Linked DNA regions of Coturnix japonica. The protein of the gene in region 3 interacts with the protein of the main gene of each other region in a pairwise test. Links are inferred from orthologs where the notes say so. Each region holds a gene or a part of one and is shown on either strand. Other genes may lie near its edges.

What was found.
Region 1: the proteins of RAD54B (region 3) and ATPAF2 interact in a two-hybrid assay, tested with the Homo sapiens proteins (2 studies listed by BioGRID). The two-hybrid records come from large-scale screens. The link is inferred for Coturnix japonica from reciprocal best matches to the Homo sapiens genes RAD54B and ATPAF2.
Region 2: the proteins of RAD54B (region 3) and TCEANC interact in a two-hybrid assay, tested with the Homo sapiens proteins (2 studies listed by BioGRID). The two-hybrid records come from large-scale screens. The link is inferred for Coturnix japonica from reciprocal best matches to the Homo sapiens genes RAD54B and TCEANC.
Region 4: the proteins of RAD54B (region 3) and RIBC2 interact in a two-hybrid assay, tested with the Homo sapiens proteins (2 studies listed by BioGRID and IntAct). The two-hybrid records come from large-scale screens. The link is inferred for Coturnix japonica from reciprocal best matches to the Homo sapiens genes RAD54B and RIBC2.

What each region holds. Positions count from the first base shown.
Region 1 is NC_029529.1:5,011,245-5,017,649, reverse strand, and holds the start of ATPAF2 (ATP synthase mitochondrial F1 complex assembly factor 2), read left to right. Parts: upstream 1-2,371; 5' UTR 2,372-2,693; coding exon 2,694-2,793; intron 2,794-3,165; exon of another isoform or gene 3,166-3,490; coding exon of another isoform or gene 3,491-3,566; intron 3,567-3,769; coding exon 3,770-3,814; intron 3,815-4,148; coding exon 4,149-4,294; intron 4,295-4,722; coding exon 4,723-4,820; intron 4,821-5,762; coding exon 5,763-5,843; intron 5,844-5,945; coding exon 5,946-6,058; intron 6,059-6,402; coding exon 6,403-6,405. Other genes in the region: GID4 (glucose-induced degradation protein 4 homolog), read right to left, coding at 160-219, 2,016-2,228. UniProt on the Homo sapiens protein: Plays a role in the assembly of the F1 component of the mitochondrial ATP synthase (ATPase).
Region 2 is NC_029516.1:110,837,707-110,843,964, reverse strand, and holds the start of TCEANC (transcription elongation factor A N-terminal and central domain-containing protein), read left to right. Parts: upstream 1-2,224; 5' UTR 2,225-2,243; exon of another isoform or gene 2,244-2,338; intron 2,339-2,355; exon of another isoform or gene 2,356-2,478; intron 2,479-2,998; exon of another isoform or gene 2,999-3,971; intron 3,972-5,048; 5' UTR 5,049-5,142; intron 5,143-6,258.
Region 3 is NC_029517.1:114,212,689-114,218,354, forward strand, and holds part of RAD54B (DNA repair and recombination protein RAD54B), read right to left. Parts: intron 3,147-5,666; coding exon 2,984-3,146; intron 2,299-2,983; coding exon 2,073-2,298; intron 1-2,072. UniProt on the Homo sapiens protein: Involved in DNA repair and mitotic recombination. May play an active role in recombination processes in concert with other members of the RAD52 epistasis group.
Region 4 is NC_029516.1:64,766,406-64,772,520, forward strand, and holds the start of RIBC2 (RIB43A-like with coiled-coils protein 2), read left to right. Parts: upstream 1-2,081; 5' UTR 2,082-2,172; coding exon 2,173-2,292; intron 2,293-4,180; coding exon 4,181-4,262; intron 4,263-6,115. Other genes in the region: SMC1B (structural maintenance of chromosomes protein 1B), read right to left, coding at 1,721-1,856. UniProt on the Homo sapiens protein: Microtubule inner protein (MIP) part of the dynein-decorated doublet microtubules (DMTs) in cilia axoneme, which is required for motile cilia beating.

The sequences.
Region 1 (6,405 bases), on a different chromosome or scaffold from region 3:
TGCCAGGAACAGCAGAGTTAAGCCATTAACCTACTTAGCGGTCAATTTTGCTGTATGCTCAATCCCTCTGCTACCTCCTTCTAGTGGTAGCTTCTCCTACCTCACTAAGAAAAGCCTTTGAACAGCATCTTCCCATGCTGTTTTGCAATTAGCACTCACCTCTGTAAGGCCTTTAATCTTCAAGTATCCACAGAGATAGGAGTTTTCCATGTCCACGTGCTAGGAAAAAAAGTGCAAAGTCCTACTATTAGCATGCACAAGAAGGCACTCCATTGATCCAAAGCTATTTCTAACCCCAAGAGTTTCCAAGGCTCAGTTCTGCTTCAGCTGGTACTGAACATCCACCTCACAGTCACCCCTTCCCCAGGGCCGGGGGGGAGGCTGCATCTCACCTCCTCTGCTATGCAGAAATGAAGCAGTGGGATGCTTCTGCTCTGAGCGCTTTTCAAGCAGGGGGATTTTCCAAGCCTTCCCCTGACACCTCCAGATTGGTTTTCAAAGCAAGAAGCGAATTATTTAGGGAAGTGCAAACATCAGCTGTGAGAAGATGGCTCTTCCCCACCTGTGATCAAAGAAAAGCCACATTGCTCTGCGCTCAGTAACAGGGAGAGCAGGCAGCCATCTCTTCTCATCTGACACGCACAGAGCAGCGTCTTTAGCACAAAGATAGAGCCAGCCTCTGCGAGAAAGCAGCATGCAGTGAACTAAACAGCCATAGGATGTCTCCGTCAGAACAAACTGTAGTGGGTACAGTCATGCTGTTGACAAGTAGAAGACTGGATGTGAAAGCAGAGGGCACAGTTCACACTGCCCCATCTACTGACCCTGGGGCTCTGACTTTGCTCCCCAATGCCGAGCCATGCACCAGGCTGCAGCACTGCTGCACACCCAGCCTGGGTGCCCCGATCCAAGAGACTCACAGCAGGAACAGCGCTGTGATTTGCTACAGGAAAACATGCATCAATGCCTGGCTTCCCCATGCACTAACTCCACACCTCTACCCAAATTGAATGTGCCAGCACCTCTGACTAAAAATAAAGCACGCAGGGTGACAGTGACTCCAGAGAGGATTAGGAAAGCCCCATTCTGCAGAACTGTCTGCTCACATTCCCATTACAGCAGAACTGCTGCACCCCTCCCCTGGTTCCTCACGCAGCCACTGGCACCATGGGATGAGGAACACAAAGCCCAGCACAGGGACCTGGATCCCTGCTGAGTTCCAGCCAGGCCTGAAATACAGGCTGTCCCACTGCTCGGGACTTCCTGGGCACCTCCCAACACGAGGCAGGATCCCACCCTTCCTCATGGCAGCCCAGAGGCACACGGGCACCCCAGGCCTGAGGGGAACGAGAAGGAGAGTCCTGCTGGCAATAGCAGGACATGGGGAAATGGTTTTAAGTTAAAAGAGGGAAGATTTAAGTTGGATGTCAGGGGGAAGTTCTTCACTAGGAGAGTGGTTAGGCCCTGGAACAGGCTGCCCAGGGAGGTTGTGGATGCCCCGTCCTTGGAGGTGTTCAAGGCCTGGTTGGACGGGGCCATGGGCAACCTGATCTATGGGGTCTCTATGGGGATCTATGGGGTCTCCTGGGCAACCTGATGTAATAAATGTGTATGTTTGGTGGCCCTGCCAGGCAGGGGGTTGGAACTACATGATCCTTGAGGTCCCTTCCAACCCGGGTCATTCTGTGATTCTGAGAGCTGCTGTTAAGTATCTCAGCAGCCACAAGGAGAAAAGGGGCAAAAGTGTGAGAGGAAAAGAGAGGAAGGACCCCGGGTCCCATCAGCCCTGAGGGGATGGAGCAGTGAGGGGCAGTGAGAGCCGGGTGGGGGCTGCAGGAAGGGCCGGGGCTGCAGGGAGGAGCTTATGGAGATGGGGGGGATCGGGGCCGGGCGGAATCAAGGCGAGGGGAACCCGGACAGCGGGGAGCAGAGGGGAAGGAAGGGAAGGAAGGGAGGGAAGCAGGGAAGGCCTGAGGCCCAGCGGGGCCCTGTGGGCGCCGGACACGGTCCCTCACCTGCATGACGACCTCCACCTCGTACGCGTTGCCTTTACTGCGCTGCTGCCCGCGGAACTTGGCCCCGCTGTACAGCAGGGATGTGGCCACTCCGGGCTGCGCCGTGTTGATGGGAGGCGGCGGCACCAAACTGCTGGCGGCCGCTCCGGACGGAGCCGATGATGCCGGTCCCGCCGCTCCGCCCGCTCGGCCCCGCTCGCTGCGCACCGGCATCTCGGGGGGGTCCCCGGGCGCCAGCGTGGCCGGGGCTCAGCGGCCGCCACCGGGGCCGCGCTCCGCTCCGCTCCCCTCACGCCCAGGCCGCCGCCGCCGCCGCCTGGCTCGGGGCCTCCCGGCAACGCCCCCGCGCTCTCCCATTGGCCCTCGCGAAGCGGCGAGAAGGCGGGGCGGAGCTCCGATTGGCGGAGAGCTCTCCTTCCCGGCAGGTTTTACGGTGAGGAGGCTGCTGGGAAATGTAGTTTGTTCGCCTCGCGCCTCACGCGACGGGAAGGCCGAAGGGGCAAAGCGCGTTCTGTGCTCCCATTGGGCGGAGCGGGGCAACATGGCGGCGCCCGGGGCGACAAGCTGAGCCGGGGGAGGCCGCTCCGAGCCGGGGTAGGCCGCAACGCTCCAGCTCCGTTCGCCGCCCCTCATCGTTCCTCTCGGCTCCTCATCGTTCTCTTCGGCTCCTCCGCCGCCATGTGCCGCCTCCTGCAGGCCCTGGGCCGCATCCCGGCTGTGGCAGCCCGGAGCCGCCCGCTGTGTCCGGGTGGGAGTCGAACATACGCCCCTCCCGCAGGTGAGGAGCTGTGGGCCCCGCGGGGAGGAGCCCGGAGCCCCGTGTGAGAGCGGGGGAACGCGGGGGGTGTCGGTGTGTGTGTGTGTGGGGGGGGATTAGTGGGAGCCCCCTCCTCAAGGTCAGCTCTTGCTGGCTGGGGGAGGGGTTGGGTTCCGGCCTTCAGAATGGGCTGAAGAAAGGAGGAAGAGGGAAAATGGGCTCCGAGGTGGGTAAGGAGGTGGTGGGGCGTCACTGCGCTGCTTTTCCATCAGTGGGTTTGAAGGTTCCCTTTGGTTGCGGGTGGGATGGCGGGGAGCTCCACCAGCCCCTCCCAGGCACGTGCTGGGCTGTGCAGCCCCTCTACAGATATTGCTGGAAACACGAGGATGGGAGTCAGGGTTTCATTGAGTATCATGAGGCCAATGGGAACACGCTGAGGTGCCTGAATCCTCCCAGAGCTGTGCTCCAGCACTGCAGCATTTCCTGAGGCCCTGAAGCTTGTAGGAGGCTGAGTGGATCCCCATCCTTCTCTCTGCTGGGCCCGTGTTGGCAGGGCACAGTTCAGTGACAGCCAGGAGGTGGATTCAATGGGCTCAGCATTTACGAGCTGGTTGTAATTGTCAAGGGAATCTTCTGGGTGAGACGTGTGGGCTGCGGTGAGCTGAGGACAGTGGTTCCTCCCCAGTGACTCAGCTGCCACGTGCAACGTGTCTGACACATGATCCAGTTGCTGCTGCACATAGGGTTCATGGTTCCTCCAAGTGGTGTCTGCAAGAAATCTGCTCCTATGGGTGGTCAGGAGATCTGGGGCATTGCTGTGGATGTCACCAGTATTGTGACACCTCCCAGGTTGAATAGAACTCACTGGAATGGAGAGGGGCTTGAATGAGTGGGATTTTGTGGCTGTTCTGTGGGCTGCAGCAGCTCTGAGGGCTCCCTGTGTTCTGACAAACCTCCCCTTGCCACCCTTTCAATTGCTCTGTTTTCAACCCCCCAGAGAGGAAGCGGTTTTACCAGAACGTGAGCATCTCACAAGGAGAAGGTGAGTGGAGCTGCTGGGGCAGGCGAGGGCTGGTACTCACACGGGGGTTACCATCACAAGGCAGTGCTGTGTCTGCAGCCCCTGTTGTGAGCTGGGCTGTCTGTCACCCACATGCTCTGCCCTTGTCCTCATCCATAGTAAAACCATGTGGTGGGAAAGTTTCCAGCATCATCTGGGGAAGAGCAATGTCAAAACATTGATGTTGGTGGGAAAATTGCTGATTCCTTGCTCCCTTCAGCTCCAGCTCTGAGCTTGTTCCCTCTATGGGGTAGTCTGTTGTTCCTTAGTGCCTGCTCCTCTTTAATTCCCCAGGATTTCTACTCTGATTCCCCAGGAGGCTTTGAAATCAACCTGGACCACCGGAAGCTGAAAACACCCCAGGCCAAGCTCTTCACTGTCCCCAGTGAGGCCTTGGCCATTGCAGTGGCAACAGAATGGGACTCTCAGAAAGACACCATCAAGTTCTACACTATGCACCTGGTGAGCACAGCAGGTCAGAGTGCTGAAGCACAAAAATGGTCTCCAGAGGCAGAACACAGAGAGAGACCAGGCTGTCCTAATGTCAATTGAAGTGGGAACAGGAGTTCAGTGCCTTGGCTGAGTACTGTGGATAACTTAAGGCTGAGCAGGCAGCTGGATGCTGGCTACAGGACTGGGAGGGAAACCCGTGTCACTGGGGAGTTTGAGAAGGGGATGGAGAGCATTTCTGGGGATAGCAAGGGGTATGAACAGGTTGGATAGACTCTATTATATGAGCCATGTTCTGACTCTATGTTTCCCTCTTAAGTAAGCTCCTTGATTCTTGCAGTCTGTCCCAAATTCTTCTGCTTATCTTGACCTAGTACACTGGAAACTGCTGCTTCCTTGAGCTTTAGATAACAGTGATTTCAGTTGCCTTTATCCTGCAGACCACACTGTGCAACACAGCTCTGGACAATCCCACTCAGCGAAACAAGGTGCAGCTGATCCGTGCAGCTGTGAAGTTCCTGGAGACTGACACTGTCTGGTAAGGGACTGCGGGATGCACTGGCACAGAGGTGGGGTTGTCTTGTTGTAGAGTGGTTGAGAGAACTGAGGGAAAATGTCTGTTCTAACCAAGTCATTGCAGGGCTCTGCTCTGTCCTGGCTTTGGCCCAGGGGTTTGAATTAGTTTAGACGAGTCCTATGTCCACCAACCTAGTGGAACTCCATGCATTTAAAGGGCATAGATACAAAGAACAGGGACCTGTTTCTTTGTTGAAATCTGTTTGGAGATGTCCATGTTGGACAGGGAGCAGGAGCAGCAAGAAATGTAGTGGGAAAAGCAAAGAAAGGCTTGGGAGAATGTCAGCTCAGTCCCCTGGCACTCCAGTAGCATAAAGGTGTAGTAAGCTTAGATTACCTGTACTAGTAGTAAAATGCCCTTTGCTCCTTAAAGCTCCTGTGGGTTGCAGGATCCAGCCTACCCAAGCTCACGTCTCACAATCTCAGCCTCTGAGGTGTCCACTGGCAGCTGCTTTGCTCCTGAAGGGAGAGGGAAACCAGATTCACCTCACTTTTTGTGGCTTTGTTTGTGTTGGGCTGGGCAGGGCGGTGGCTGGTGAGTGCTAAGCTGAGCCACTGGGCGTGCAAGGCAGCAGGAAGGGCCCTGTGGGATTTGTCCCATGGATCACTAAATCTTGCTGCATCCCTTGGCTGGTTTCAGGTAATCTGCAGTCTTCTGTTGTAGATTGTAGCCCTGTTATATAGCTGCATAGAACTGTCCTTTCTAGAACAATAAAAAGCTTTGAATGGAGAGATTATTCCCAGTCCCAGCTGTTGCAGGTAGGGTGAACAAGAGGTCTATGCTCCCCATACTGTGGTCTACGGAGGGCACAGACTTTCTTCTCAGGAGTGCTGCAGTCTGGCTGGGAGCAGTCTGACAGCTTGTGTGTGAACACCCACATGGCTTTGTTGTGCAATGTCCCAGCTATCGTGTGGAGGAGCCAGTTGCCTTGGCAGAGCTGCAGAAGAAAGAATGGGATCCTATTGTTGCCTGGGCTGAGAAAAGGTGAGAGTTTAAAGCTGTTTCTAAAGGCCCATAGCTGTAGTGCTCGTGACTCAGAGCTGCAAGATCCACAAGCTTTTCTAAGGGGCCATGTGATCATGTCAGGTACAACGTGGCAATCGGATCCTCTACCAGCATCATGGGACCAAACATCCCAGCCAGCACCAGGGACACCTTCATCAGCCACCTGGCCTCCTACAACATGTGGGCTCTGCAAGGTGAGAGGCTGGGCTGCAGGAGCCCTCTGTGTGGGCTGCACAAGGGCAGGAGAGCTCCTCTCCATGGGAGAGGGGAGAGACTGTAACGTTTTTCCCCCCCTGCTGATATGCTGAGATGATCAGAGCATTGAGGTCATTGCAGTGATGGTGGTCAGGAGAGCACTATTGTGCCGTTAATTGCATGTCTGGCTGTTAGGAGCCCAGATGGGAGTGGGGAGGCATCACTGTGATCTGCCTGAGGGGGGACCACAGCCTGATTGTCCTTTCCAAGCATGGGAGGATGCTGCTGTAATGCTGTGGAAAACGACCATGAATATTGTTTGTTTTGGATTTTTCCCTTCCAGGTA
Region 2 (6,258 bases), on a different chromosome or scaffold from region 3:
TGACTTTTACAGTCATGCTATCAGAGGGATTTAATACAAAACTACGCTGCAGCCAATTCAACACTTTGCAAACCTACAGAGAATGCTGTAAGAAGTATTAATAATAATAAAGACTACAGTTCTCTATGTGATTAATTGTATCTTTAGTATCAATATTTGTAATTCCGTCATTTCTTGATTTTCAGTCAGGAAGCAAGGGTATTTTTTTTACCATTTACCACAACTTTGGTGCTTAAGCTTTCTGATGAAAATACGGAGACAAATTCTTAGCCATGTTTGTGTAGCTTGTGGTAGCTGTTCTCAGCCACGTTTTGTACTCTTCTGATTTCATTACAGACACTTTGCTCTACAGTACTGTTACCAAGGGCAGAACTTAAGTTAGCCTCCCCCACTAGAAGCGATTCTAGCAAGTGATCACTTACCAGTTCTCTTTCAGGTCTTCAGGAAGGATATAATCTCCCCAATTCCATTTCATTGGAAACAGCTGCTCCCATTACCTGTACGCAAGGTTTCAGAAAGTTCAAACCACAGCTTTGGAGCTTGTGTCTAGGGATTTTACAGGAAATGCCTGTCCATCAGCCCTTCTGCCAGAACACATATTGTCTGGGCTGTTCTGAAGAGTCAATTGTTACAACTCCAAGAATAGGCAATAATAAGGACAGTCTAAAGCACATCCTTTGGGAAACAAATTGAAGGAAGAAGGTTTTAAAGGAATTCATACATATTTTCTTTCAAATAATTCCACTATAAATGTTTGTTGAATGGGAGTACATCTCTGCAAAATTTCACTGCTAATGCTTGACCAATACACAACATCTTCAGAACTGTTAGAAGAAAGATTTCTATTTCATTAAAAGGAAACACATTGTTCTGTGATTCTATTATTGCACTGTTCTCAGGAACTGCAAACTCTTTCATAAATGTACATCTAAGTTAATAAACAAAGTAATCATTGTGGCAATCTTGCAAGTTTCTTGTCTGATGGCACAGATTAACTGTTCACCAATTGTCTAACCAACATTTTCCCAAATATTTCTGTGGATATTTAACAATTTATCAGCTGGCAGAGTATCTTATCTTGTTTAATAGAAGTCTATTCTTTTTAGAGAAGTAGATACTTAGCACAGCCAACATTGAAATCTCAAGGAAAGCAAGCTGTTACTGTAGCACTGATTTTATCCTGGAAAACCCTGCAAAAACACAAAGATATGTATATATACCATTACACAAGTATATGAATATAACAAGTATATCATGTTTATCCCTTGGTTTACTTAGGAGTAACTGAAAAAGCATTATTGCAGAATCATAGAATTGTAGGGGCTAGAAGAGACCTCTAGAACTTTTCTAGTCCAACCCCCCTGCCAAAGCAGGCTCCATAGATCAGGCTGCACAGGTAAGAGTCCAGGTGGGTCTTGAACATCTCCAGAGGAGAATCCACAACCTGTCTGAGCAGCCTGGTTCAGTGCTCTGTCACCCTTACTGTGAAGTTCTTACACACATTTGTACGTAACTTCCTATGTTTCAGTTTGTGACCATTTCCCCTTGTCCTATCACCACACATTGCTGATAAGAGTCTGGCCTCATCCCTTTGCCTCCCGCACCTTAGGTATTTATAGACATTGATCAGATCCCCTCTCAGTCTATTCTCAAGGCTGAACAGACCCAGGTCACTCAGCCTTTCCTCATAAGAGAGATGCTCCAGCCCCTATATTTTCTGGAACAGTGATTAATTAGACCAAACATAGTTTAATGGAGAAGGCTGTGAGTAAGGAACCTCCCTCAAATAGTGGCATCCTTTGTTCTGATCTCTGTTCCTGGGAAGACTCCTCACACAGGGCTAATCATGCTCCTTGTGTCTTCCCTGCTAAAGGAAGACTGCGCCAGTTCTGAAAAGCCATGCTGTCTTCTTCCAGTTTTTCAGCTCCTCTTCTGTACAACTTCAGACTTGTCCCACACTTTGTTGCTGCACAAAAACAAGGCAAAAAAGGAAGCCTGACTTCAACTGCGTAACCAGTTGTGTATAATACACGGAACGAGGTTGACCACTGTAAAAGCATTACGTCACTCACGTATTTACCAAAAGGGCTGTTTCTGCCTGGGAATCGTCCTTGGTAAGAGGCAGGAGCCTTTCTTGTCAGTAGAGGGCAGCATAGGCCTCATCAGTGAATAAAACCAAGCTCATTTACGTAAAAATCATACGGATTTTCACCGTAATTGCGAATAAACCCTATCATACGCCCGTAAGTTTGCCAGAAATACACATCTTTCCCAGAATCACTGTGAATACTCTGCGTACAATGCATGCGAAAGAATAAAAGGCCGTGGCATTGCTCCCCCCGGGTCCCGCCGGCACCAGGCCGCGCTGCCCCCCCCCCCTACCCGGCCCGCTCGCAGACATGGCGGAGCGCAGCGCGGCCTGGGAGGTGGGGAGGGTTGCGCCGCATTGAGGCCCAGCGCGGAGGTAACGGGGTACGGGTCCGTATTGCTGCATATTCCCCAGCGACACAGCTTTCTCTTAACCGATATTGCTCGAGGGTGAGGCCGAGGGAGGCGGTGGGGCCTGGCGCAGTGTCCGAGCACCGCGGGATGGGTGCTGGGCGGGCCCGGTTGGGGGAAGAAGAGGCGTCAGTCAGTGTGTGACAGGTGACAGGAAGAGGGGAAATGGACTTGGATGCATTTTTACTCTGTCTTGGTTTATCAGTGGAAGTTTTCTGCACTAAGGAAAAGTGGACTATGGTTTTGAATCTGTGAAGGTGTATGGCTGGAGCAAGGCACTTACCCCAAATGATTTTGGAGAGGGCAGGTTTTTTTCCCCAAGGGTTAGCTTCTTAGTTTTAAAAATGAGACAGTGGAGATTTGGGTTAGATCTGAGGAGGAAGTTTTTCACACAGAGGGTGGTGATGCACTGGAACAGGTTTCCCAAGGCGGTTGTGGATGCCCCATCCCTGGAGGCATTCAAGGCCAGGCTGGATGTGGCTCTGGGCAGCCTGGTCTGGTGGTTGATGACCCTTCACATAGCAGGGGGGTTGAAACTACATGACCATTGTGGTCCTTTTCAACCCAGGCCATTCTATCATTCTATGATTAGTTAGCAGAAAATCTCTCACACTGGTTTGTTTGTTTGTTTTTCCCCCATGCAGTGATTTTCATTTTTAAAACCTTTGGATTCAGTACAATGTTTTGGGATGACTGTATTTCAAACCTGAGGTAGTCTGTTTTATTTATTTTTTTGTTTGTTTGTTTGTTTTCTCCTTAAAAGCAAACTGACTTACTAGATTTTTATTGATCACCATTGCTAATTCTTGTACATGCAGTGACTCATTATGCCATGTGGTCAAGTGTGAGAGATGGTAATGATTTGGCAAGAAAGTACCTCAGCAGCACAGTATTACAGAGCCTAATTGAAAATGCAAACCAGTTTCTATCTTCACTTAGAATTCAGATGGATGTTCCCATACTTTGCTGAAATTAAGCAGAATGGAAATGCCTTGTGTTACTTCTTGGAACAAGGAAGACAGCAGAAAACTGCTGACTGTTTGTTCAGCAGCATTTGCCAAATAGCATTAAATCAAGTGGGGTAGTGGTAAAATTCCAAATGTTTTAAATGTCGGATGAAAAAACAGTGTATGGCACAAAGACTGGATGAGGGATTAAAACCTTCCCTCCAGTCTGTGACCAGGCACCTTTGGGCCTACAGGGTGTTTTGTTGTTGTTGTTGTTGTTTGTTTGTTTGTTTTTTGAGGGTTTATTTTGCCAAATATTATGCAAATAGGTATCTTAAAAATGTAAAATTTCCTAAAGGCCATAGGGAAATCGTTTTATCCCCAAGGCTGGGCTTTCTCATTGTGCACTATTACACAAGGCTGCATGGGTTTGCTGTACTACAGCCCCCTCAAGTGGTAAAACATTTTCCCATTTAAAACTGCAGCCAACTCCACCACCTCACTGTTGTGCCATGCTCCAGAGAGGTGAGTAAGTTTCATTGTGTAAGCTTCATAACTAATAATGGATATTTGTAGACTACCAGCAGTTGTTTTAGACTTCTGTTTTCCTATTTGCTGAATAACTTGCTTCAATCAGTGCTTTTGCATATCTGACAGCAGAAAAAACAACAACCCCTTGGCGGCATGCAGGGTGTCTGACTGTTCCCTAGATTAGAACAAGCTTACAGAATTCCATCTACAAAACAACCAAAGAAAGTATTCATGTACCTGGGAGAAGAACATAGGCTGTAGATTTTTGGTTTTGCCATTATGCTGCAAAACATCAAAGCCCTGTTACACAGCAGAAACATCAGTGTTCAACGAATGTGTGAGTAAGAAAGAAAGAAAGGCTTACTCTGCTTAGGTTCAATGTGAACTTTGGCTAGAAAATACCCTCCAGTGTTGCCACTGCATCAGTAATTCTTTGTTTCTCCCTCTAAGAACATGGAAAACATGCAGTAGACTCAGAGTATTTACTTGTATCTGGATTCTAGAAATGTTCCTTGACATACTGACTTAATATGAAATGCTCTGCAGGATTCCCTGTGTTAAACACTCTGCCTCAACCTTTGAAGGAAGCCAGAAGTTTTAAAATGTACTGGGTTTGTGCTTGTTCTCAACATCAGCCTTGGTGATTAAAATCCAATTGCCACTTGTCTTACAGAGCAGCAGTGCAAAAACAGCATTTTTAGTTTCTCATCACACTGCCTTTTAATATGGAAGCTGAGATGAAATCTGTGATTGTCTAGGTAGTGGAATACTTTATGGTTATGGGTATGTATCACTTTTCAGCTTGAAGTATTTTAAGGTCTTTTGAAAACTGGGTACACACAGCAAAGCAGTGCCGTGCTGTGTGTACAATGCTTTCTCTTCAGAAACCCTTCTTCTCATTTGTCATTGATGAAGGCATACTTATTACTTTTACTTGGTTGTTTCCCTGCTGGTTGTTTCTTGTGTTTCTACTTGCAGATAATGAATATCCCACTCCGCTGAAGATGTTAATTACAGATTTCAATTCTGGTCTTGTCATGTGTTTTGATGACTTTTTTTCCTTTCACACAGTTCTGCTGAGTAAGAGGGTCACCCAGTTCTCTTTGCTGTTTGTCATACGAGCTGAGGAAAGCACTTCCTCAGAAGTGATTGTTTGGACATAAACGTGAGTAGTTTAGTGGCTAACTGAATTTCCAAAATTAGTTTTAAACTTCTATATTTTCATGCCCACATTCTGTTATCCATTTTTGTTCAGCTGCAACCATAACCTTTACTTGAATTTGCTGTTGGATAAGCTTGAAAAAGTAAATGCACCACTATGGAGATCTTAGGATTTCTAGGAATTTAACCACTGCATTACTGTGGGAAAAAGTCTTAAGGTAGAACATATATATTATATTTATCTAATCCAAGACAGACTACTAGAAGGTGAATGTTTGGGAGATGGGGAGCTGTCCTGCTGTAACCATGGCCACCCTGCTTAAGAAAACAATTCTTTCCACTCTTACAGACTCTGTGGTTGGTTACCAGAACAAATGAGGAAGGATTTGGCTATAGGTGCTTTATTTTATTTTATTTTACAGTTTTACAAATATATTTGAAAAAGCGTATCTCTGTTTTCTCTCTGTTTCTGAAACTGCTTTAGAAAAATAATTTCTGTTATAAACATTATTTGAGCTCTCACGGGGCTTCAAAATGTCAGGCAAGAATGAGCCGTTTCAAGACAAGTGAAGTGAAAGCAGACAGCGTTTGCTATGGAGGTCAGGCTGGTCTGTCGTCTGTGCTTGTAGAAACATAATGAAAGTTGATCCTCGCTGTCTTGTCCTTCTTTTCTTTTGAGCTCCAAGGCCCTACCTAATGTTTAAACTTATTTCTGGCATGCATAGTACAACTGAAAGCTGCGAAATGTGCAAATTGTCCAGCTTTCTTTCTTCCTCTTCTTTCCCCCCTTCCTGGGAGATTTCATCATGGAAATAGTGATGGTGCAAGAAATCTACTTGTGAGTTCCTTCAAATGTGCGTGTGTGTATCTGGCCTTGCATCAGTTTCCAAGTGCAAGTGACCTTTTATAGGGTCATGATATATACAACTTCAGCCAATAATTTTTTGCACAGATACTGAAGACTAAATCATAAGGAAAGAGGACGGGTGCTTACAACACACCACTCACTGTGCCTACACATTTAGTTCTGTTCAACAGCAGGAGAATAATGTTAGTAATGTCAGAATATATGGGATCATGCAATAAGGCTCTGGCTGGAAGACAATACATGTATCAGTAT
Region 3 (5,666 bases):
GGGAGCCTTGTTTCCAAAAGCAACACCTTCTACCTGGCATCTGCATTTAAACAGAAGTAAATTGCAACCACATTTTAAAAGCAGATAATGTCCTGTTTCTTTAAGGAATTTACCAGCGAGGGGTTAAAATGAGGAAAACACGCCTAATGCATTTTAAAAGCCTGCTACTTCTTTGAATGTATTCCTTGTAGGCAAGAATGGGGAAAAAAAAAAACACCAAAACAAAACACTGAGACAAGCTCTTCCTTTTAAGTTATACTGAAGAAATAACAGTATGATAATTGCTGGTTTTCTGTAGAAGATAGACAGTAAATTATTTTAAGATACCTCATTATACTCCAGGCAAGTCATACTGCATCTTCCTTTTGCATGACAATGTATTCACTGCTATTTGGGAACAACAGTCTTAAAAGCTGCTGAGTGTCCTCAATCCAAAAAGCTCCAGTGAAATGAGTAAGAATATTAAAGTTATTTAAATTAAAAGTCAGATAAAAGCTACTGTCATTTTGGGTCACAGTAACTGTCAGCAAATCCAGATTTCTTTCCTCCCAACATTATTCAAAAAAAATTGAAAGAAAACATTCAATTATTTTTAATCACCTTTTCAGGTAATAACGTTATCCTATTATATTTTGTCTTCTATCCACTACCCTTAGAAAATTCTGTATTTCTCCATCTCATCTATATTAAATTACAGTCCCTGACAAGTCAGTTTGCTTCATTTCCACATCTTGAAACAAGTTACCGAGAAAAACGAGTGATGCAAAAAGCACTTCTTAATGAAGTGGATGTGGATTGGCCCCAGTGGACGATGAGTAGGTTCAATAACTTCAGGATTTTGATGCTTATAAGAGTGGATCTCAAATAATTGCTTTTATAATGTACTGTACAGCTTCCAAAAGAGTTTTATAAATAGTTTGAATGCTTCCATCTCATCTGAAATATTCATTCTTCTATACAGAATGTAAAGTGTCTCCACTTCCTCCCACTGGTACACTCAATGGTACAATCAATAAGGACCAAGGAAAAATCATAAAATCATTAAGATTGGAAAAGACCTCTAAGGTCATCCAGTACAGCCATCCACCTACCACCAATACAGCCCACAGAACCATGTCCCTGAGTACTACATCTGACCTTTCCTTAAACACCTCCAGGGACAGTGACTCCATCACCTCCCCAGGCAGCTTGTTCCAATGCATCACCACTTCTTCTGAAAATAAATTATTCTTAATACCCAACCTGAACCTCCCCTGGCACAACTTGAGACCATAACCTCTCATCCTATCTCTGTTACATGGGAGAAGAGGATGACCCAAACCTCACCACAACCTCATTTCATGCAGAGGGCAATAACGTCTCCCCTCAGCCTTCTCTCCTCCAGACTGAAAAATCCCAGTTCCCTTAGCTGGTCCCTGTAAGGCTGGTGCTCCAGACCCTTCACAGCTTCACTGCCCTTTTCTTGATGTTCCAGGTCATTGATTCTTGTGGTGAAGGGCCCAAAGCTGAATACAGTACTTGAGTTGCAGCCTCACCAGAGTTGAATACAGGGGGACCATCACCTTCCTGCTTCTGCTGGCTTTTCTACAGGAGACAGAAACCTAACTCTTATCAGTGTCATTAAAAGGAATAACTTCCTGAAATCACTAGAAACAGATAGCTGAAATAAATTTAGAAAGTTTTTGGTAAAGAGTAACAGGAACTACCAGAGAAACACAGTACAAGTCAGTCAAGCTAGAATCTCTGTTACGTAAAGCAAGGATGGTATGCTCTTCAAGGAAGAACAGAAAGCTTATGGACCTTGTCCCTTACTGGAGGGACAAGGAAGATAATGTCTCCTTTTACATTTGCAAAGGTGAACTATGAGACTTATGCTACATAGGCAGGTGATCTTCAGCTGCTGACAGCTAAATGAGCGTATGGCTCTGAAAGGGAAATGAAGCATTCCAAATAAATTTTAATAGTGAATCACTAGTTCAGGTTTCTGCTTAAAAAAAAGAAGAAAAAAAACCTGGTGAGACCTATATTCTGAGCCAGATAGGACCTAATGTCCTTTAGGAAATAAATCTTACCTGATCAACTGTAAAGACTTTGATCCTTTCACTTCCCAACCATTTCTGAAATTCTTTTTTCCAGTTTTTTACCAGACTCCCAGGGGTGACAATTAGTGCTCGCTTTAGTACTGGTTTACATCCATAGACCCCTTGACGCAGAAGAGTCCAGACAAGTGAAATGCACTGCAAGGTTTTTCCTAAGCCCATTTCATCAGCAAGAATAGCTCCAAATCTGCCACTAACTCTGTAACATATAAGAGGCTATGGTAACACTTTGAAAGACGTATCTGTAATTACTCACAATTGTTTTAGGCAACTGTTTCTCATGGTCATTTCGTTTGCTATTAAAGAATCTATTTGTACTTACTACATGGTTATATGTTTTCTGAAGCCAGCAAGGACCAGAAGTCCTTAGAGTGAAATTCCTCATTTTCTAGATTAATGCACTAGCCCTCCAAAACCAAATAGCTTAAATCTTCTTCTAGAATTTAAAATATAACATAAGATATAATCCTTTTAACACTTGTATATACCTCCTCTTACTTTCACTGCACATACCTTCTTCATCTTCTCTATTCCACACATTCAACTATAGATCATACAATCATGAATTAAATGAATTATAAACCCCAGAAAGTGGTGTGATTCAGCATGAGTCAGATTGTATCTGTGTTTAGAAGATGTGGTATCTTCAGCAGAACTGACAGGCCCTTTGCTGAACCAGCATCTCATCACATCTAGCAAAGTCACAGCAAACAGTGCTACACAGAAGTCAGAAAAAAACCTGTGCAACCTTTATTGTGGAAAGATTATTAATATTAATTAGCTGATCTATTTTTCATAAGCTCCCCTTTGAATTGTCTAATTCTTAAGATGGAACGTGAAAATATTATAGGCATTGAAAGCCAAAAGGATAATTATGTTCTTACCTCATTCCCATTACACATTCATATAGAAATACAATTCCTTCTCTCTGATGTGGTCGGAGATTATTTGCAATGTAAGGATCCACAACTACATCCACCACAGGTAAACCAGCCTTGTTGAACATGCACTGATGACTTGCATTTGGTCTCGGCATAACTAGAGAATCTTGAAATACAAAACATAAGCAAATATTGCACTAAACTTTTCTTAGACTGTTAGCAAAGGGCATTATTCCTCTAACTCAGCTACAGCAAAATGTCAGTAATCTGATGACCGCTAAAAACATTAGTGAACAAACTGACCTTTTTCAGACAGAAAATGCATTTACCAACAAAGCATCTAGATAGCCTTCAAAATAAAAATCCTTTTACAGAGGTGTGCAAAATAGTTTGCACTCTTCTCAGATATAAGGGTAACAAAGTGAGCAGTTGCAGCATTGTTTCAGGAGATGAAACTGCTTACCTAATAAATGCAGCATGATGATTTTGAATACAGAGAGTTAAACCAGAAGGTCTAAAGGGTTTCTAAAAGGAAACTTTAAGAAAACAATGACATACAGAAAGAGTAGACTACATTTACAGGGGATATTTTTGTAGAACAGATTTCTGTAGCCCAGGAAGACTATTTTGTATGTGAAACAGAGAGATAAGATGATTTGCCAAAATATAGGGGAAGAAGGCAAGTGAGCTGACAAAGGCTGCCACAGTGCATAAAAACAAGAAGTTGACAGGTTTGAAGTCATACAGAGGCAAACAGAGCATGAAGCTATATCCTTTGGCTACATCTGAACAACACTTTTGCTTGCCATAATTTGTTTACAGACTCTGATGGCATTACTTTGCTAGACTATGTCCATGCACAGTTGCTGGTATTGATACTACAAAACCTCAGTGAGAAGTTGCATTGTCAGAAGATAGAACGAGAAAGCAATTGACAGCTTCTGATATTTGTATGTTGCTAGAGTAGAACTATATCGATAATTTATTCATGAGAATAGGTCTATTGAAGACTTGTATCACTCAGAGGGATTTTGTTTCCTACTGACAAAAGGCAGAGTTCTGACAGATTACATCAAATTGAATTTGGATATATAGAAAAGCCCTCAGTGATGAAAATATCACCTTTCTGTCAAAATCTTGCAGCCTCGGAGATGAGGAAAAAACAAGATTTAGATGAGTTATGGACTAAATCTTAGAAATCACACATGAAAGACATGATGTTATGTCTTTGTCAGTGTAGTCAGCTCTGTTGAGCATGTAGATAAACAGCATTCAATTTTGAGAAAGGTGTATTTTAATCAAGTATTTTCATTGACAGCAACATGAAAACTTTTCAGTGCTCCCATCACAGTGTCCTAGTCTAGGAAAATACCACCATTACTTCTGAAAGAGATTATGCACCAAAGCACTACATAAATAATACAATTCTCCAGGGCTGAGCAACACTAACGTGTGAGAGTCCAAACTACTGATGTCTTGAGAGTTCTCTGCATCAGGCAATCTGGGAAAATCTCATAGGAGGTGTTCAAATTCACCAGGAGTAATAGAAAGCAAAGTACTAGAATAAGACTTAGTTTTTGACAGAGCAGTGCATAACAACAAAGAAGTTCATTTGAGTACAGAATATATCAGCTCTTTGCTAGATTTTAGATTAGAAAGCTAATGCAGAATCGTCATGAAGGTGCCTCATTAGACCAAACATAATCAAGCTGAATTCAAACTAGAAGACAGTGCTAATGAGTTTGCACTTATGGAAGTGCCAATGATATCGCTAATTACTATATAATCAACATATCATTGTTTATTTACACAGTTGTTAAGTAGCAGCTTTGTCAAGATATGAGGTAAAAAGCTGGACAGAGCTATAACTATAGAAATAATGTAGAAGAACTCTCCTTTTTAATATTTCTTTAAAATCATCTTTCTTTTTCATCTGAAAGATAAAGCCATGAGCAGAATTTACAAGGCCTGCTCTGAAAGTAACGTCTCCTATTTTATTATGTTGGCCTATGATGTCAGAGGCAGATGTTGGTGGTATAGCAGCAGAGACTGAAGCTTCCCACCAATATTTCATCACATGTTGTTGCCATGCAACAGATGGCAGCAGAGGGGCAGTATGACAAAACAGCATCTGGCACGGAAGTGCATATGAAGCAAAGGTGTGCCACTGAATTGTAGCCACAGGCCTTCATTGACACTTGTTGAATGTTTGTGGATGTGCTAACAGTGCTAACAGTGGGTGTTAGCACAGTGAAGTGGTGAGTGGTACATCTGAACACTGACAACAGCAGTGTGAAAGACAAGTCATGTTCTGGACAGCCATACAACAGCCATATGACAGCCAATTTATAAGTGTGGCATGCAGGCTACAATTCATTTCTGGCAAAAATGCGTGGCCAATGGTGGTGACTCCATTGAAAAATAGTATTCTGAAGCTCATAATTTGCTCTGTCTGATAGTGTTACCATGTGCTTCATATCTGTTGTAGTTTTCACAGAAATAAGTAGGAGGCATTACTTTCAGAGTAACCTATGTCATTTAAGAATTCTCATGATTCTTCAGTACAGGGTAGTTCAAGTATTACATAAAAAAACTTTCATTCCAAAACATACCTTGTTGAGTTTGGGGCAGTAAAGTTACACTCATTGGCTGTTACGGATCAAGCAGCATCAGGAGCAATTATCCA
Region 4 (6,115 bases), on a different chromosome or scaffold from region 3:
TTTTGTTTATCATGGGTGTCCAACATTTTGTCTTACTAGGGCTGCACTGAGTGAAGAGGAATTGCCTTGGGCCACTTATTAAATACATAGTAAACTTAAGGTATATAAGTAACAAAACTTCCTTAATATATTTTTTTTTCTATAACATTAAAAAAAGGGAGAGCAACAAAAACAAAATAAACCTAGTGGGATATTTGACCTCATTTTTGCAAAACCAATGCATCAGTCTGATTCAGCAGAAGTGGGCGTCATTCTTACTCAGTTCTCAAGGTGCTCGTCAGAGATTTCTGATGAAATATTACTCTTCCTGTGCTTCAGACTTGAAAATATTTATCCACAAAGCTACATGCTGCCAAAAAGCAATGAAGTGAATAAGGCACGACTGTGAAGCAAGGGATATTTATCTCTGGTATGATAGGTTGACATAAAAGTCTAGTAGAGCAATATGATCAAATCCATCAGCTGGTTACGTGAACTTACTCTTTATTCCCTTTACCAAAATAGGAAGTAAGGCTGCCTATTTTTCATTGTTAACAGGACTGCATTTAGCCAATGAATCGAAACACAACTTTTTTCTTTCCCCCACTGCTTGACTTAGCACAGCACTCTACCAACCCCCTGCCTGGGTTTCATCCCAGACAGTGCTTATCATACACCAGTGTATCATACACCAGTGTTTGGCTGTTGCTGAGCAATGGAAAAAGCTGGTGGAGAAGAACAGGTGCCATAATGATGCTGGGCAAGATGTGGAGCTCAGCACAGACTGAGCCAGACCACCTGTAAGCTGCAGGAGCAGCAGGATCTAAAACCAAAATCATAAACTAATGGACTGGGGAACTAAGACCAAATGCTAAGCCTGTCCTTGTGGCTCCTCATTAGAGCATCGCCTTATTCTCTGCCAAGTAAAGAATAAAATCCCATCTGCTTGAATAGCGTGTTCAGCAGAAACGAGCCCGTTTTAAAACTTCCAGCACCCACCACCTAACTATGCTGAGACACACTGACAAGCAAAGGCTCTTGAGGACTAAACTGCTATGTCCAAAGTGTTTGGTGGTGATACTGCTATTTTTTCTAAATGTGAGAAAGGGAAAGCATTCAAAATATTACACAACTTGACCCAAACAGCTTTCCTTGGATTTCTTAATGTCATTTATTTTTCTCATCAAATCTAGACCAAATCCTGTCTAACCAATTCCCTGCCTCTAACAAAGCCTGCTACCTTAAAGTTTGCCTTAGTCATGCGATGGAAGATTTTCATACTGTTTTCCACAATGCAAATAGTACAAGTTAAGAGACATTACTGTTTCTCTTTATTACTCCACCTCCTGGGGCAAGGAAATCTGAAAGATGATCTGACATATTCACTGACATGATAAAACACTTTTATGACAAAAGAAAAAAAAAAGCCCTCAGGTCCCTGTAAAGAGGCCACATAAGTCTACATCCCCTGTGCAAAACCATGTAGTTCTGCTCCTCAGGGGACAAGCTGCTGCCCATTCGGTGCCATAATAGGGCTGTGGTAGCCCAATTACTGGGCCCACACTTGGATGCAATTGCTGTTATGGGTTCTTCCTCATGAGTCTTGAAGAGACCTGAAAATGAGCCCAGAACTAAGACTGGGAAAAAGCCTGGGAAAGCAGGGCAAAGGCAACAGAAACCTCCATCTTGGCAGCAGTGGAGGACACACACAACCACCAAATGCCCCTTTCCAGCCTCCTACCTGATCCATTGGGCCCAATTATACAGTTGAACCTCATGAAGGGGCCAATAAGCTGCTCCCCACGCCAGGACTTGAAGTCCTTCACCATCAGCAGCTTCAGGTAGCCCATCCCTTGGGCAGTGGGTGCAGAGGCCATTCCCCCCTTCCAACTTCGGCCACACACAAAATTCAAACCACCAGGTATTTTTTTTAATGGCTTGTCTTCCAGAAGGAGACACGAAGGGAAAGAAACCCCACAGCAGGAGGCCTCCAGACGACGGCAAAGCTGACACCCCTCCAAGCTCAGCCTCGCCCCTTAGCGGCCGACATAGAAGGCCGCAGCCTGCCTCGTGCTCCCTGCCCCGCCTGATTGGCCACCAGGCGCTGGGAGGGGGCGGGAGCTCATTGCCATGGCGATGCGGTGTGTTGTGCTTTGGTAGCCATCGTCGCCGCTTGTGCTCCTTGCCGGCGCCATGAGCGGGCTGACGGTGCAGCAGCGGGAGCTGCAGGAGGCGGCCGCTCTGGAGCGGCGGCGGCAGCGGGAGCTGCAGCGTCAGGGCCGCATCTTTAACGTGCGAGTTCGGACCATCGGGGTGAGGCGCTGCCGAAGCCTCCTTTGCGGGTCGGGGCGCGGTTGGAGCCTGCCCGGCTGTGGAGCCGAGTAGATTTGAGTCGGTCTGGCTCCGGGGAGGGGAGGGAAGAGGCAGCAAACACCCCGAATTTGTGTTTGGGTATCAGGAAATCAAGTGGTACTTTGTAGTTATCTAAATAGCCGTGAAGATTCTGTACTTGTGGTAGTTAATTTTCCCTTACTGTGCCTGAAATCTCATGTTAACATTCTGGATGCGTGTGTTGTGAGGTGAAATAAGTTTAGATGTTGCTGCTAAGTTGCTTTTCAGGGCTCTGTTGCAATAACTAGCTTATAATCAAAGTTAGAAGCTCACTTAGTGGAAAGAACCTAGCTTATAATCGAAGTTAGGAGCTCGCATAGTGGAAAGAAATGAGCCCAGTGTGTTAACTTCACTGTGCAGGTAGGGTTGCAGCAGGTGACAGTCTGATCTAAGTGATCTCAGGTAATGAAGCATCTCACATGTCAGCAGAAGGATCCGTTTGCCTTGGAATTGCTCTTGTGACCTCTGTGCAGCAGTCAGTTATATAGTAAAATAGCAATTCCTGCAAGGAACTCAACAGGCTGGTACAGCATCCTGACGCATGGTAGCCAATGGTACAGTCAAGTGGTAGGAGCTAATAATGTGTTTTAACAAAAAGTTGGGTGGGCACAGTAAGAAAGTTCAACTTTCTTTGCCAGGAAACACACTTTCTCTGTTAGATGCCTTTTCTTGGGCCTTAAAAATTAAATGTAAAATGCCATTTCTCACTTAGGGAAGATCATTGGATCTCAGTGTACTTTACTGAGCAGTGCTGATTTACACCATATCTGGAGGTCTTTCCCAAATACTGTTGTAGGACGACCGTTGGACAGGTTTTAATAGCTCCATTTACACGAGACAAACATCTAAAGTGAAAGTATTGGAAGAATTCTGTGAGTATCTTGATGAACATCATTTAATAATACCATATTTGTTGGCTGAGCAAGAAGTGCTTACAGAAGGGACTGTTCTTGCTGTTTGCAATTAAGCCACATCCAAAACAGGTGAAGTCAACAAAGCTATACAGGTATATAGTATATCTCTATTTCCTCTATAAGAGGTTTTAGATTCTTTGTTTTCTCATTCTCTCACTAATTTATCTGAGTGATTGTCTGCAACAATTCAAAAATGAAGGCAATATTTGACAGCTTAAAAATATTTGAACTGGGGATTGAGTAGTTTTTAACATGTGGGGATAAAATACTGATGGATGCATTCACATTAACAGTATTTTGGAGGGCCCTCTGCTTTCTGCCCTGGTGAAAAAGAACACAGCGTAAAATCTGTATTTTATAAAGGTTTGCTTCCCCAGAGTGGGTTGGCCTTTTTTAATGCAATGAGAATTGCATGTGTGACAGAGGTAAATGCTCCATAGCTATTGCACTTCTCATCCTCTGGTGTGCATGGTTATAAGTGTGAGGGGCAACAGGGAAGTCATCTGAGGGGGGAAAAAAAAACAAACAGCAAGAACTGGAAGAAATCAGGAAAGCAAAGCAGGGGGGTAGTGATTGAAAGTGAAGCAAATGGTCAACTTACATCTCTTTTATTGTTATAGAAATGAGACAGAATAGTTTGAGTAACGTGTAGATGTGGCACTGAGAGGCATGTGTGGTAGGTGGACAGTTGGAATAGTTGGAATAGATAATCTTAGGTCTTTACCAAGCTTAGTGATTCTATGATTCTAATAGGCAGAGACTATTAAAATACTTTATCAGGCTCTTGAAGAATTGTCAGTAGTTTTTTTTTATGTCTTACAATGACATCCAGTGACTTAGCCAGTAACAGCTGGTGTGTTGTTGTTATTACTCTTTGTTTTGTTTTGTTTTAATAGGTTGATAAAGATGCATTGGATGCCCAGGTCAAGGATAGAAAATTTCAAGAAGCAACTGAAAAAGCACGAAATGAAGAATTTGGTATATTCATAGATAGTCTAATGTTTGTATAAAGTTGAATGTAAATAGATTTGTCCTGTATTTCATTCCTTTTTCTTTTCATACACGTCCAGCCTACTGGTTTTGTTTTTGTTGCGTTATTTTTTAACGTTTTAATAAAAAAAAATAAAAAAATAATGTTTTTGTTGCTTGTATGTATTAACTATATTATATATTTATATATATGGCCAAATATAATTCATTTTCATTCAGTGCAGCCCAGCAAACCAAAAGGTTGGACACCCATGTATTTTCAAATGAAATCTATCTCCTCAAATATCAGTTCTGTATATCTATGTATTTCTAGGTGCATGTGCAATTAGGCTTCTGTCTAAATTCAGACTTACAAACTGAATCCTTTGTGTATCCCTATTTATGTTTGCATTGGTAGAATGTGTTTTCCTTATTATCACAGGGATTCATTCATATTGTCATGGGTAAAATGGTATGTATTTCTGAATAGATTTCAATCTTCTGTGTTTTCTTTTAATAAATCACGATAAATAGCATTGTTAGAGACCTGAAAATATAGGATCATTTAGAAAAATAATTATTATTTTTCAAGCAGAAGTGGCAAACTTATTTTACTGCTGTCTTTCAACATAAGTTTATGTTCCTTCTGGCTGTTCATATACAGAATCAATAGATAGAATATTATACAGATTTCTGTTGCTAAAGTCACACAACGGCATAGGTTAGAAGGGACAGTCCAACCCCCTTGCCATAAGCAGGAACAGCATTTACTAGATCAGGCTGCCCAAACTCCTGTCCAGGCTTACTTTGAACACTTGACATGATAGGACATCCATAACTTCTCTGGCCAACCTGTTCCATTCTCACCACTCTCATCTCTTTCTCACATCCAATCCAAATTTACCTTCCTTACATTTAAAATCCTTGTTTGTTGTTCTGTCACTACAGACCTTAGGAAAAAGTCTATTTCTTATTAGCCCTTTTTACACATTGAAAGGTTGCAATAAGGTCGTCTTGAAGCCTTTTCTTCTCCAGGCTAAAGAAGCCCAGTTCCTTCAGCCTTTTCTCATAGGAGAGGTGTTCCAGCTCTCTTTTATTGGGCCCTCATCAGGACTCATTTCAACAGCTTCTTGTGCTGGGGGCCCCAAAGTGAGTTACACAACACCCCATTCTTTACTGTTGACAGGGGATGTGGCTATAATTGCCTTACTCAAACTGCCAGCTGCACTTCTTATGAGGCCAGGATATGACTAACATTTCAGGCTGCAAGGGCACATTATAAGCACATATTAAGTTTTCATCCAGCAATATCCCCAAGTCCTTCTCAGCAGGGTGGTTCCCAATCAATTCATCTCCTAGTCTATACTGATGTATGTACTATCCCAGCTCATATACAGGACTTGTACTTGGCCTTGTTGAACTTAAAGATGCTTGTGAGCCTTCTTCTCAAGCATGTCAAGGTTTCTCTGAATGGCATGCCTTTCCAACAGTGCATCAGCACTATTGCTTGCCTTGGGGTATCATCCACCGACTTGCCTGTGTTGCAAACAGGTCTCTAATTGAGAGGTACTGCTGAGTCAGAACACATAGCCACAGAAATATTAGCTATGTCCACTCATCTCAGAACTCTTGATGTGACTCTCTGTGGCTGGAACACCTTTTCGATGGTATCACTTCTAAAGGTCCCACAGACTGGGCACACTGTGTTGAGAAATAGTATTTTATAGCTGAGAATGTGCTCTGTCAAATAGTGTTATTGTGCTCTTTTTATCTGTTGCAGTTTCCATGGAAATAAACAGGAGGCATTACTTTTGGAGCAGCCTACGTATCTACATGCTTTAAACTGAGAATCCTTTATTGTG